Linked DNA regions of Lepisosteus oculatus. The protein of the gene in region 1 interacts with the protein of each later gene in a biochemical or structural test. Links are inferred from orthologs where the notes say so. Each region holds a gene or a part of one and is shown on either strand. Other genes may lie near its edges.

Region 1 (7,984 bases):
AGAGTGTAAAAACTGCATACCAAGTCTCAAACACGATCGAAAATATTTTGCTGTTGCAAGTTCTGATTGCTTCACTTCGCCTCGAGGAGACACATCTGCAACTGTTCCAGAGTGTCAGTCTTCAGTGTCGCTGAAACAAGTGGTAATGCATGCAGGAGAGCCGTGCTGAAATTGAAAAGGCACACACACTGTTGAAATCGATCTAAGGGCCCCCTTTTCTTTCAGCACAGTCCCAGGTTGGGAGGCACACACACTGCAGCGTTTCGGTGAAATCTCCGCATTGTAGTCCACACTATGATTTACATCTGGACAGACCAGAGGGTTTTAGGGATGAGCATTTGTGTCGTGACTGTGCAGAGCACACCATGATTTCAGCTCCCGAATATCCTTCCTGTGGAGCCCGTTAACAACCAGATCCGTTGGCTACAATTATGAAACCTCATCATGATACTTTTATGCCCATTCTTATTTGAATGACATCCATGTGCTGAGTGTTATTTGTAAACAGGAAGTCCATACTCTGAAAACAAAAAGAATACCTCTATAACATTATATTATTAAAAAAATAGGGCCTGGGTATTTAATATTTCTACTGCTCTGTGACTTCTGAAGTGCCTTTCCCAGTTGAATACCTGTAGGTCAGGTGCGCTGGGCTGCAGGTTCACCTCCTAGACGTCTGCTCCTCTCTCCAGTGCTACTTCACGGCCCCTCGACACCTGGGACCACCAGCACTTTCACAGACACGGGGGCTCTGTCCGGGACCTCCTGGGGTCAGGGAGAGGGGAAGAGGCCCTGGAGCTGCTGCTGGACGAGCTGTGAAGGTGTGAGTGGGCTGAAACCCATGCCTGCTTCTGTACCCCTCTGATCTGATGATCTCGGTTCAGCTATTTCCTCAGCGCAACCGGGGTATCGGCTTCAACAGGGCCAGGCAGCTCGACTCCTGCTCTCAGATTTAAATGCACTTCCACATCGTTTCCACTGGTGCCCTCTGAAAAGAAGCTGGGGACTTCTGGCCACCCATGAGGGCCGAACCTGCAATCTTGGCTTTATTAGTGCCACACCCTAACCAGCTGAGCTCACTGGACACCTAGGAAGTTGGAGGCACTCAGGCCCGTCCTGTTGCTATATACAGTAACGACAACCACATCCAAGGCCACAGTTCCATAGGCTCCCACATTACTGGAATTGAAATATCTGTTTTCAAATGGACTAGAGTTGACAGGAAACGTGTTTCTTTTGCACACACCGTACTTGCAAGCGGTAAAGGGAAATACTGGAACTGGCCTGATCTGACGGCGTGCTCTCGACTGCTGCGGGGAAGGGAGGCAGTGGGTTTCGCAGTGCAAACGCAGGTACAGTACCACGCCTTCCCCTTCCTTCCTCGCGCCCGGGAACCAGAGCCCCATGACGTCTCCCACACACTGTAACAGCGCCTTCTGCTGTCACCCTCCTTCCCCCACTACAAATGAGCCTGCAGTGAAATTAATGTTCTGGATCCACACTGCTAACTGCAGGTACACCCTTGCTTTTCTCTGTTCTAATGCCCTTGATCTTTCATTACACTGCAGGTCCACCTCCTGCACCTGAGGAAACATGTTGCACTGAAGAGCAAGATGGAGAAGAGAGCTCCCCTGTTCACTCCACTTTAATAACACATCCCTTTCTCCTGGCTGTGAAAGGGATCCGGATATAGATCCCACTCCTCACTGAGACAGATTTGGAAGCTGATTTTTTACCAGCCTGCTTCTTGATAGGTAAGCAATAAACACTTAGGAGAGGAATAGTTCGATATCAATGAAACATGAATGAATCAATAAGTAGGATGAGAGAGATTTTCAAACAACACCTTTGCTCTCAGTCTACAAAATGTTGGCTTTGTAAATGTTTGCACTTCCTTTGTAAGATATTTTTTTTGCCTTCAGCTGTGCGGCAATGTTAAATTTTGTACCAGTACTACATGCTATCAGTAAAATGCAAAATAAACCAAAACGGAGCACTAAGATCATCTGCAATGATATAATTTTTCAAATATCAATAGGCCTAGGGGGAGCCCTTTTCCGGAAAACTGGGAGGGCCCATGAGGAATTGCAAGTCCTCTCTGAAGATGCCACCTCTCAGCTCAGCCATGGTGACTGGAAACTCCAGGCACCCTGCCACTGAAATTGAACGCGGAGCTCTGCCATCTCTGTGTCGACGTGACTTCTGTAACTCAACACGTGCTCCAGCAGTATCTGTGTGTGTGTCTCTGTGAGTCAGTGTATCTGTGAGTGAGTGTGTGTCTGTATGAGTGTATTTGCGACTGAGTGTGTGTGTGTAGCTGTGAGTGAGTGTGCTTCAAACACTCGATTGAGGGGGAAGAGGGCAAAAAGTAAACACTCTGCTATTGATCACTTTCAGAGCCAAGTAGTAATCAGGCTGGAGCTATTAGCCCTGTTTCTGCAGCCTCGCCACCTGTGGAAAAAGAGACCCAATTGATTTGCAGTGAATTAATTGAGAACTTATTTAGAGGATTAATGTGACTTGGCAGACAGCTGCAATTACACTTATCCTGGGTGCAATTATAGTACCAGGACGTACGACCTGTTTACAAAGTGGCTCTGTAGCTCCTGAAGTGCATTACGTGGTGGGGCTGCTGCCAGTGAGTACGCACTAGCTTCTACAGGAGCGAACTCAAGTGGCATGAAGATACTGTAAAGACGGTGCTGTGCTCATGCCCTGTGTGCGACAGCACACTTCACTCACCTGGTTATCAGTTTTTCCATTTCAATATCTGTGTTCACAACTGCTTTTTAACTGGAACTTGAATAGAACCTCAGACTTCAGTGTGTGGAACAACATGCATTCCTAAGATGCTAGGACAGCCTCCATAAGAGTTTACAGAGGACATCGAATATTACATATTCCCCTGAACAGCCCATGAATGGAGTCTCCAGTATGATTTTAGTAACCCTCTTCTTATTTCGAAGCAAGTTACAAGTTACACCAAAAAGGTGAGCAAGGCAGCCGAAACGTTGTGTTTCTTTTCAGCATGGAATAAACCTTTACTTGTACATTTGCAGTTGCTGGTTTGCCATGTTCAGTTGGTTACCAATGAGAACGGTAACTAACGGGAGGAGGCCGTCCAGCCCTTGTTAGTAGCTACTGTAACTGTTCTGACCTCATCCAGCCGTCTCTTGAAGGGAGCCTGGATACTGGCTTCAACTTCATGGCTGCTTGTTCCATGCTCCCACAACCCTTCTTGTAAAACAATGTTAATCTTGTTCTTACTTTTATTCCATGTAGTTTCCACTGGTGTCCTCAAATTGATTCTGATAGGCCATAGGATTCAACTGCGTCACTGACTTTGAGAATTTTGAATGACTTAAATCTGGTTTCCTCGTAGTCTTCTTCCCTCAAGACTAAAGAAGCTCGGTCCTTTCAGCAACGTTTCTTTAAACTCACAGTGTAGCTGGTTGCTCTTGTTCAGACTGATTACAAAGATGGAATATCTTTCTCCTCTCCTGATGGTTAAAACTACACAAAAAAACAGGCATTTTATTCTTTGACCCAATTTGTGATTCTGTTAAAAACAACCGTATAAAACTGTAGAACAATATGACCGACCTGAGGTGACCGTGTAGCAAGGCATTAATAATGGATAACGGATTTTAGGCCATAGAGTACCACAAGATAATGAACCGTCTGTGACCTACAGTAGTGTTTGCAGAAATCCCTCTCTGGTAGAAGAAATGCGGACACTAAAATCTTCAGGCAGTACAGATGGAAGTCGGACTTTTCAGCTGGCCGGTCTCTTCATGACGCAAAGCACAGGAATGCATGGAAAACAGACAGACTGTAGCGGGGCAAAGGAAAATCTCTGCACGCTAGAAATATGCTCCATTCCGAGAAGTGCCCTGGTTAAAATAAAGCACACAGGACAACTTTCCGAGCTTTGTGCCTCGGTGCACAATTTATTTCCAATTTTCCTACCGTTAAATGGATTTTGGGGGGGGAATTTCCACCCCTTCCTCCCTCAAAACTCGCAAAAACTTTTTCCCCCCTCTAAGGAAAAAGCCTCGTTGAAAGACTACTAACTGTAGCCAGTCGCAGAAGCAGCGTGTCAGACTGAGCCCTGACTCCAGCAACAGCAAAAACACTACAAACACTTGATAATCCTGTCTGCTGAGCACATGCAGGCACACGAGCCACAACTGAAACTTCTCATTAAAAACTGATTCCGCCAAAGAGGACACCTTCACTCCCGGAAAGAGAGCAACAGCGGCGCTTTTCCGTGCTCGCTTCGAAATAAACCGGGAATCGGACTACAGCCGTGGTTGTTCTGATCGGAAATATTTCCCCCAGTATGTTTTTAAATGCAGGGGGCGTGCAGACCGAATTCAGGGTGTACAGGAAACAACACAGTTCTGCAACACGGCAACCTCTTTGTAAACAAATACAACGGGCCAGAGCCCGACAAGCGAACAAGTCACAGCGACTCTCTTGGACGCAGCAGCGCGCTGCGACGCCACCTGGCGGTCGAACCGGCTCTTTGCAGTGTTTCTGCCAGGGCTGGAAACAGAACAAATTCAATACCCGCACAAAATAACTCGAAACCAACCACAAATTCAGGTCACGACAAGAGCTTTTTTTTTTGGCTAATAAAATACCACCCATGCATGTGAGTTATTTCTCTAAAAATGTCATATCCAGCCCAAAAGTAAGCTTTGTAAATGATCGCTTTTCATTAAATATATAACGATGTAAAACCGCACAGAATATTTTTAGACATGATAGGAAACTGCGCAGCGGTTTTATTTCGGATAGCAAATGCAAGCTGCTTCGTTATAAGAACTCTTCTGCCACCTACTGATTTAAAAGTGTTTTTTTTATTATCTCGGCTTGGCAGGATCTGAAACTAGTAAAAAAACAAGATAATGTATTACTACACATTGCTCGTATATATTGCAGAACATCCGGCCCAGCGCTGTGTGAAAACTGAAAACTTTCTACTTGTCTCTCAGATTTGGTAAAGGAATAGGATGCATTTGTGTTTTTTGTTAAAATGTCGAGTTCATTCCGTCAAATAAAACTTTTTTGATCAAGAGATTCTTTAAATTGAGTGAAAGAGGAACATGATTTCGTGTCAAGGTGAATATTTTATTTTTGCTTACCCACATAGTAAATGCATGCAAGAAAAGAATCTAAAATGTCAACAGATGGCGCTGCAAATGCGACAAAGTGATTTCTGGACCCAACTTTTCGGCGACCATACGATAGGACTGTTCTGTAACCTCAAACAGCTCGTGTAAAATCGGCAGGAGCAGTCCCTTGAGCCCACGGATCTCTAGGATAAAGCAAGCGATCGTTTGTTTAGAGTGCACGCCTTTTGTTTTTTTGTTTTTCCCCCCTTCCGAAACGACAAAAGTTTTCCGCAACACAGAAAACCACGGCGCGCGACCAATCCCTGCCCCGCAGCCCTCGTGCCTGCCCACACGCACGCGCCGCGCTGCCCCGGGGGGGCCCGTGGGCCGGAGCCCCCACTCCGACACCCTCGTGAAGTGGTTCTGCTCCGTGACGCGAGGAGGTGAGCGGCTGGAGCCCCGAGCTGTCCTGCGTGTGGTGCCCCTGCCCGGCCAGTGCGCTGGGAGCTCTCATGCTGCAGCAGTACTCCACTCAGACGTAGGTGGCGGGGGATCACAGTACAGCACGTCCCCTGCTCGGCCGGCCGTGTGGGTCGCCCAGAGTTGGATCGGTGGCTGGCAGCGGTGAACGACAGAAGCGCGGTGGGCGTGCGTGGTAAGGGGTATCTGCGGTAACTTCAAATAAGATCACTTCTGCTGTTCTGACGTGCCTTTAGGGTCCCGATTGCAGTTTGCGCTCAGCCGTACAGTGCTGTCGTGTGAGTGTCGAGAGAAGAGAACCCCTTTTTGAATTCTACAACGTTTTGTTTTATGTACCCTGATAAACGAGGTTACGAGTTATGCATTTCGCAAGCCGAGCTGTGCATGGAAACGTGGTGCGCCGTGGGCTTCCTGCAGTCTGCTGTGTGTCGTGTCGCAGGTGGTTAAACTGCTTGTTAAACTGCACCCAGATCCGGCGTCTGTCGCTCACTGTTGACCGTCCAGTGTTGCTTTTTGGCCGGTCAGGTGCGGCACATCATAACATTAAGGAAACAGCAGTGCAAAAGCGTGAGGGGTTGTAGCAGAAATGTTTTCTCCCTGTCGTGTTATCTACAGGATAGTCTTCTTCAGCGATATAAGCTCCGGCATTCGCGATACTGCGTGCGGTCTCTGGCAGTTTCCTTTTCTTCTGCGCTGCAGGGCTCCTTCTCTCGGATCGTTGTAAGTCTTGAGCTCTTCGAGTGGGTCACTGGGCGAGTCCTGTCCCACGCACAGCCCGACGCACAGATATCTCGTGGGGAAGGTAGCGCGACTGAAGTCTCCAGCACCTGAGCTTCACGCAGCGAGACGGGTCCCTGCAAGCACCTCAGCTGTTCGAAATGCAGGACTGAAACAGACACTGGCCTGCGCAGCTGAGCTCGTCCTGTCCCGCTGGCTACTTCAGGAGGTCTGCAGCAGCGCACTGTACAGTTCGTGATGGGGGAATGGGCCTCACACATTGCAGTTCAGATACAAAGTCAAGGCAGCAGTGGAGAGGAGGGTCTAGTCCGATTTCTAGTGAGCCGCTCACTGACCCGAGTGTTGGCGGGCACCAGGGTGCTGGGCCCTGCAGCCCACTGGCGTACGCAGGGCTCTCCTGCTCTTGGTTTCGGGTGCACGCCCAGCTGGTGTCCTCTTGTCCTCCGGTTTGTGTGCTGTGGTTAATTCGGAAGGTGTTTGCTGGGTGGGCTTTGTCGTCGCTGGAGCAGGGTTTCCCTTTCCAAGCTTGCTCGCTCTGGGGAGACTAGTTTCACACTGCAGGCAGGCCACTGGCTTCCTGAACAGCACCTTGCTCAAGGGTCCTGCAGCTCAGCTCCATCACGTTTGAACCCACAACCCTCCAGTTACGAGTCCAGAGCCCCAACCACGTCTTCACACTGCTGCCTGTGCTCCAGAATGCAAAGGCATTCCACACGATCAAGAAAGCTGCGCAGAAGGTTGTCTTGTCATCCTGCTTCCTTCTTTCCAGCGTGTAATTAACCTCTACTTTTCAACTACATGGTCCCAATTCTTATCCTTCCATATACTGTATATGTACAGTATGTGGTCTCCAGTGGGGACAAGTCGACGCCGAGCAGTAAGATCGCTCCGGATGTCGTGATGAAGCCCACGCTGAGTCAGTCTGTGATCTGATTGCAGAAGTATTGATGACCGCACTTGCACTCTGTTGACATTGGCTGTGGAAATTGTTCCATTTTAGACTTTAAAAAACATGTGTTGTTGGCACAGCTAGTCGAGCAGTAGCTTTGAGCTTGTGTGCCCTGTCCAGCCTGTAACTGGTTACACCCGAAGAAGGTTCCACGGCCGAAACGCTGTGTTTTCTCTCTTCTCTCTTCAGCAGGGAATAAACCTTTACTTGTTCCTTTGCAGCCCCACCTGAACTACTTCAGCCTGTAACAGACCTTCCACTGACCTTCCGAAGTGTTTTCCTCTGACTGGAGCTTAAGCACTGCGTGGTGTCTGTAGAAGGGCTCTGATGTGGTGATAATGAGGGAAAGTCCTAATGTCCGTTTACACATCAGGACTTTGGCAGCGGTAGTGGAATGGTGTTAAAACAGCCAGTCCACGAAGCCTCCTGATGGTGGTCGTATACTGCAGCTTGCCTACTGGGCCAGACACACACAAGTGTGCTATTGATAAGAAATACTGTACACTTTAGGCCTTGAAAATTCCCATTCATTTCATTAACAAGGTACTGGCCCCTGAGCTTCAGAGCTCATGACTGGGAATACTGGGATACCCTGTGGCCTGGACACTAGGAAATGGTCCAGACTGGAGCTCAGTAATAAAACCTCCGACACATGACGGCTGTTCCTTCCTCTTCATATCTCACGGACATGGGTTTC
Region 2 (7,440 bases), on another chromosome or scaffold:
TTTAATTCCAGGTAGAGAGTAACGTGTAGTTTTAGATGTATGCAGAGAGAAGTGATGAGGTCTTGCAGTAGTTAATGAATTTTAAAGATGATGTGCGACTAAGTAAGCAGCATGTCTACACAAGCAAGAGACGCTAGCTCCTTCACGGAACTCACCTTAATGTAATAATTGGCGCTACAATGACGACTGATGTTAAAAATTAAATGGAGTTTAGAGGAAATCCCTATAAATATTGTTAAAATGTACACTGAAGAGGCAGATTCATGGTCTTATCTATAAATATTTAATAATATAGAAAAATTATTGTCGATTTCAATACAATAACTTATTTTATTAACTTTTCAGAGCATTTTAAGCTGATTTGGATGTTTTCTAAAAAATTGCTATTTTTATAATATGTATGAATGTAAACATGCAGCTGTCATTCTAGAGCAAAAACACACTCTTGAACAAGAGAGAAAATGCATCATAAGATGTGACTTTGTGACCTCGAGGACCAGAGCAACAAATCTAATTACGCAGATGTTAGGAAAAATATACAGTACACACACAATGAAGTAAATAAGTAATAATAACAGAGTAACGACCTGTACACCTTAGATTGACTGCAATGAAGGGTTTCTTTTTGTGGTCCATTACATGGACAGTCATGTCAAGGTCATTTCCTGTTACACTTTTGGTCCTTTCTTGATAAGCGCATTTTGCCTTCTAAATGACAAGTTAACATTTTTACATTATTTACAATTCCCCTCCAGAACCCATTTTTACATGACCAACTCATGTAAAAGTAAGGAAGATTTTTCATATTAAATTGATAAGAATATAAATCCCTTTTATCTATCACACAGGTACTATAAGTGTTATTGCCGCACATTTCCGGATGCTAAATCTCTGGCACCAAAGCATCACAAGGTTGAACTACAGTAAGAGTACTGTTACTGTTTTTTAGTTTTGTATTTCTAATTACCTTTAACAGCAGTACTGTTTATTTCCCATCAGCTGTACTCCAAATGAGTGGTTAATGTCAAAGGACTTGTGCAATACCAGTGGCATTTTTTCCATTGTGCTTCTTCTAACCTCAGACTTTTAAAAGTATAATACAAAATCCTGAACATGGAGTATGCTTACAAGTACATACGGCAGAGAATCAGTTTTCTTTCTACTCATTAATGGGCATTCAGTAAGGGATAAAAACATGACATCCCCCTTGACAATTGAAGGAAATGATTTATTTGGGAACTAACATCTGTCAGTACATTGTGGCCAGGCACTTTTTTGTCTACTGCTCATTCAAGACCGCATTTGAACAGCCTGCCAGCAACATTTACCTGGAGAGATCTCTATACAGCCTGCAATCTGACAGAAATCACTCAGCTGGGTCTGATGAATGATGGTAGAAGGCAGTGTGTATCAGAGCTGATTGAATTACAGATTGCAAAAACTGTCATTAGCATGCTGCCCAATAACCATATTAAAAGCATGTAGGCTTAGAGCCCAAGAGTTTTCCTGGTATGTTTGGCATGTTAAAAATCTCCATAAACTGATTGTCAATTTCATGACTTTATTTAAACACATAAAATATCCTTGATACTGTTTATTTTCTTATTTAGGAAACATGTTTCAATTGTATAGTTTAGACACATCCAGGATCTGTTATGTAAGTACTGTTACTGTATTATGTAAGGCAGCTGTGCAGTTACTTGCAATGTCGGCAAATGTTCATAGCAACCGCTATCATGCCACCTATGAATTGAAGTAATATACAACAGAAAACAAAGACACCATTTCCTTACTATTTTATCGTTTATCAACGTGCAGTAACATAGGGAAATGGCAAACCCAAACTTAAAGATGTAAACTGAAATAAGGCATTTTAGGACTTACTGTGTTAATATTTGCAGATCATGAAAAAGTTTTTACTATTTTAGTTTTAATATGTAAAAACCTGGCAATTGAATTATCTTGTAAAGACTAACAGAGGAGAACCCCACACTACAAATACTGCAGTTCAGGAATACATGAACAAAAGCATATACAAATATCACTAGCGTTACATTTTGTAATCACACACATATCCAAATGAAATTTGGTATTAGACTGTCAAAGGAACAGCTCCATAATCTACAGTACCCCAGCAACAATGTATTATTTCAGTTTCATAACAACAGTGTGGATTAATATGATACATTTCCAATTGTGGAAAGAGGCAAGAAAGAGGACAAACTGGTAAGGTGGGTTTATTTCAGTTTACAAAGGTGTTAATTTGAAAATCAATATTTTTCTAGCCTAAGCAAGTTGAGTAAAAGATAAGTCCATCATATCTGAAAGCTGTTAAAACAACCTTCCCACTTTATCTGATGGTATGGACCAAAGGATTAGTTTCCCTGGCTGCAATCTGAAAGCAGTTGTGTGGTGCTCCAGGTCGACTGTGTCTTCCCACGCACTCAGTGCTTTATTTGAATAAACAAGAGCACAGCCTAAACATGACTCTCGTGAAGGGGTAGTCCCAGCCAATAACTACAATAGTATAGTACAACGAAATCTCCTACCCACCCACACACTCCCCTCCAAAAAATAATGAAGCAAAACCACAAACAATTCAGTGAAGGCACTGGGTCATAAAGGATGACAAATATGAGCACACAGTTAAGTAGACTTCCTGTACTTCAGTAACAGAAAACATGACTTCCATGGCACCAAAGGCTGAGAAAGAGAACAGGATCTTACCTGGAATTGCTGTCTTTGTGGTGCAAATTGGGCTCTAGATGGTTGCCTTTTAAGGTAAGATGCAATCTGGAAACATGGAATAAAAGGTGATGTCTTGCCAAAGAAAGTCTTGCTGCTGCCTGTATGTTCTGGCCAGCCTTCAGGGAGCCTTTACATTCGGCGCTGTGTTATCCCCTATTTGAAAAAAAAAAGACACTGGATTTATCTAGCACTGGGAAGGGAGAGAGGGGGAGAAAGAGAGGGAGAGACACTAGACTGTTTAACAGAGCATCATCACGCTGCAGTTTCTTCGGAATCCCTCCAGTGAGAGAGGGCCTGCATCACGGAGTCCTTGCCTGTGATTGGCTGAGAGCAGGGGAGCTGCCTGGAATATCTAATCTGGCAGCAGTAAACTAGGATGACCCTTTCATCTTGCATTAGCATCCCATACGCCCGGTAGCAAGGGCCCCTGCGAATGACAATCAAGGACATCAAATAAGCACTTTTCCTCTGGGATGTGAGGGAGGGGCACATCCTAGCAACCTCAGCCACTCCTTCAGTTACACAAATGCACTGAGGTTTCATTAGAGCCCAGGAAGGGACACTGCCATGGCAAGATTTCCCAAGGGAAGAGGGGAATATCAATAATAAAACATGGACAAACATACACATGAAAAAAAATGGACCCTGTGTTGAAAGAGCTTGATTTATTATTTCATGGAAAACAAGCTAGACTGGAACATACACCTTTAACGTGTTGTGTCCACAGATGTCCTTTCTTCAACATCTGTGAGGAATATCTACCAATTAGTCGCACAGTACTGTGTATCCTTTGAGATCTTATTTATTGGCAGCATCTTGCTTCTATTCGAAGATGAGAAAATAATAATCATATACTCTCCTCCTCACTCAAAAGCCCTGTTACAACAGGTAGAGATCCAGTGAACTACAGTATAGTTTCTTCAGTTTTATCTTCTTTCTGACATTGATTAGCGAATAACTATAATAAAATGTATATAATCAAATAACAGAAAGAAAATTAAGTCTTCCTGTTAATAAATAGGGGGTTGACTTTCATTACGAAGCCATTGTATTCTTTTTTGTTTGCTTTGTTGTCACTACGATGTAAATCATTCTTTTTTCTTTCTCCTAGGTGAATACTGTACAGCAGCAGTTTGAACCATTTCAGGTTTTACAACAGGCACCAGTATACCAGCTAACACATGGCAGTGTATATGTCATGATTGCTAACTTACTATGAGTTAATCCAAATTTATCAGGTCTTAGAATTTTAAACCGGAGATGTAGACACTTCCTCCTAGAGCCTGCTGTTTGTAAGACTGGGAAAGAATAAAACTCCTACGCCATGTGAATATTATTTCCATCCAACGAGAGAGCTTTAATAATTATCAAGTGTGGATTTGGTCAAAGATTAGTCTGACCAGCACTGATTAGATAAGTCACTTTGACTTCTGTCTTCAGTGTGTTACAGAGCTTTTCATTGCTTTGAAGGTTCCTCATTAATGTGAGTCCAAGTGCTCTTTCAGAATACAAAAGCAGGCACCAGCATGTTCATTTCATTCACTATATAAATAATAGAATACTGCAATTTTTTCCTAATGCATTTTTATTTTATTGTAGCAATTGTAAAAGAAAAAAAAGAACTGACCAAATTGCAAGAACAAGAAACAGGCTACACTGGACATCCTAAATGTATTAAAGTACGAGTGTCTGAGTTAGATGCATAAAATCCTCTGAGTAATTCTAGAGGGATTTGGAGCAAATAAATAGACATGTAAAAGCTATCATGGAAGCTTAAGCAGGAGGGTCCTTCAGTACAGTTCCATTCCCTTATTCAACAAACCCTAAGGATATTCCCAACTTTGATAGATTAAAACAAACACTGATTTCTTCAAAAGAAGAACAAGCTCCAATCAGCCCAATGGGAGATATACCTCCTTTTTATGTATATCAGTATGGAACCGCTTCATTTTTTCATAAACTGAAACAAAATCCTTTTCATTCTGTAATATTTTATACAGCACTGTCCTTCTTCCAAGGCATACAGAAAACAGAACATTAGACACAGATTCACTTCAAAATACAGGTACATTAATTACAGTGTACTGTACTGTATATAGAGTACACTTTAATACTTTGTAATTATGTAGCATTTACAGTACATATTAAAGTACATTTATTTCTATATCAATCCAATGACAATACTGTAACTGCATTATGAAATTATTAACCTACTGTACACAAGTTACTGCTATAGAATAGTATGCATCTTTTGCTTTGCATCATGACGTCATGAAAGGATCTTGTACATTTTTAGGGAAATTAAAAATAAATTATACTCATTGATAATTTTTCACAAAGTATTTTCTGTTAAAGTGGATGGTAAGCATTAATGATCTGATGTGGTTCCAAGTGCTCTGTTGAGCTGAACAGATAAAACAGTTACATTTAGCACTCATTCCCATTATGAAGAGTAACCAGCGGTAGGCTAAAGCAAACACTCTATTTGATTAACATGATCACATGGCGCATGTTGGCAGGTACAGTATGTGATTTTACAGATGGAAGCCAAAGGTGGCAAAGAATAGTGTGTGAAAGATCATTTACAGTAGATAGATCTTTTCAATATATTTGGATAGACAATCTCTTCTGTCAGATATCAAATTTTCACTCTGTATAATTGAGAGACTATAAAAAAATCAATTTGCTTTTACAACACATACAGTACATCATGTTTTACCATCATTTCTCTTGATCTAATAAACTGTCTCCCCAGTATGGGACATTTTGGCAATCAAAAAAAGTCAGGTACTGACAATCTTTCTTAAAATGCAGTACAGATTACACTTAGAGCCAGTTAGGCCCTGAGCTATTTCATTAGTTCACCAGGATTAGTGATCAGGATTCAGGGCAAAGTTCCTGCCAGGGTTTATGAGGTCTTGAACTGGTTGGAGTATTCTTAGTAGTATTGCAGGCTTGCACACAATATGAAACCCTGTGGCACAGTGGGTGACTGTGAAATTGCAGAGTCATCAGTAGGAGAAGTGTGGCTTATTCAGACAGTGTGAACGGTGCTGTAATGTACTGTTGAGTTTGCAATAGCTCAGATTGCAAGCAGTCTTAACAGTGGGCATGTTGGAAGAGATACATCATACTCATTCTCCTGTACTAGGCTGCAGTTGTTCAGCTGATCAGCGATCAGTGGTTCAACAAGTAACACAAAGCTTTCAATGGCCTGGCTGTACATATTCTTAAACATTTTTTATTTGTTTTTTCATCATAGGATATTAATTCCTGTGTGTCAGTCTCATGCTGCCCAAATGAGGAGGCATTATTTAAACACATTAGATGCTATTTTCTTATTTCTTATTTTTTTATTCTAACAGGAGAATTGACGACTTCTGAAAGGGCCAAATTATTCTAAACTTACTAGATACTAAGAATAAAGAGCTGTGTTCTCAACACTCCCCCCAAAACATTATCAACTCTTACCAATTTGCAACCATCTACCCTAAATGACTGGTTCACACCCTTTTTCTTATTGTGTTTGGTGTACAAAATATTGATATTTTTTGTACAATAGCTTGTACATTCTTTAGACTCAAAGGGAATCTTACTTGCTCTGTGGATATTTTTAGGTGCAGCAATATCAAACCATTGTCTTTTTGTTATTATGCCGTAAATCACAATCTGCACTTCAAAAATAGAGCTTTGCCCTCTGATTTAGTGATTGATGTAACTGTTTTTACAGCCGCTTCAAGGGTCTAGTCTCTATAGGACTTCTCACCACTTATATCAGTGCCCTGCAAAGTACTCTTATTTGGGACAGAGAATAAGACAAACTGGATGATAGTTCTGACTGGGATAAATCATCAGCTAATCCATTTTGTGCACAGAATATTTACAGCACTATCCCAGTGATTCCAGATTAAGATTTCTCCCTGTCCGAACACAGATGCAGTCAGTGTGTTACTAGCACCAGTCCACATATGGTTTGGGAATATTCTGTGAGCAAGCACTTTTGGGATGCGTGTGATGTGCATTCAGAAGTAACTAGCACAACTGTGCCAGTGAGACTGATCCTGCTCAATGTCAGGTAGTTGTCAGTTTTTCAGCTTAATGTCAAGGACACTCACAGCTGCAGAAAAAGAGGAAAGGAAAAAGAGAGGACTGGCCCAGTCTGGACCATCAGCATGGGTGGGCCACCACTGCCCCATGCAACTCACTCTGCACACTCTGACAGAAAAGACGACCAGTTAACCTGTCATGAGGCAAAGCATGTTTTTTTGTTGTTGCAAATTGTTTTGGGCTCTAATGTGATCCAGGAGAATGTCTGCAACAGCACTGTAACATGCTGTAAGGACAAATGTACGAACTGAGGCCTTAGCATTGATGCTTACAAATATCTTCAGTGTTTTGGAAACACCCCCAAATTGAAAGGATCTCTCATGGCCACTTTCACAGATCTTTGAAAACAGCCTTGCACCATACTATAAATTGCATTACCCATCACAGAAATAATCACCTCTGTTGTGTTGTCTTCACTTTTGGATACTTTGAAAAAGAGACCCATTTCCTCAAGAAGATATCATCTCATACCCAGAGCTTTACAGATTGGTGTATTGCTCAGCAAATGGTGTGCAGCAAGACCATTTAAAATCTTTTAATTTGGTCAAGGTGTGTGTAAGGTTATTGCATCCAATACTGCAGTTT

The links. The genes of interacting proteins can lie anywhere in the genome.
Region 2: the proteins of ston2 (region 1) and syt1a form a complex in vitro, tested with the Homo sapiens proteins (2 studies listed by BioGRID). The link is inferred for Lepisosteus oculatus from reciprocal best matches to the Homo sapiens genes STON2 and SYT1.

The regions. Positions count from the first base shown.
Region 1 is NC_090703.1:2,847,557-2,855,540, reverse strand, and holds the start of ston2 (stonin-2), read left to right. Parts: upstream 1-4,974; 5' UTR 4,975-5,791; intron 5,792-5,812; exon of another isoform or gene 5,813-7,984. UniProt on the Homo sapiens protein: Adapter protein involved in endocytic machinery. Involved in the synaptic vesicle recycling. May facilitate clathrin-coated vesicle uncoating.
Region 2 is NC_090702.1:20,470,417-20,477,856, forward strand, and holds the start of syt1a (synaptotagmin-1a), read right to left. Parts: upstream 3,013-7,440; 5' UTR 2,728-3,012; intron 1-2,727. UniProt on the Homo sapiens protein: Calcium sensor that participates in triggering neurotransmitter release at the synapse. May have a regulatory role in the membrane interactions during trafficking of synaptic vesicles at the active zone of the synapse.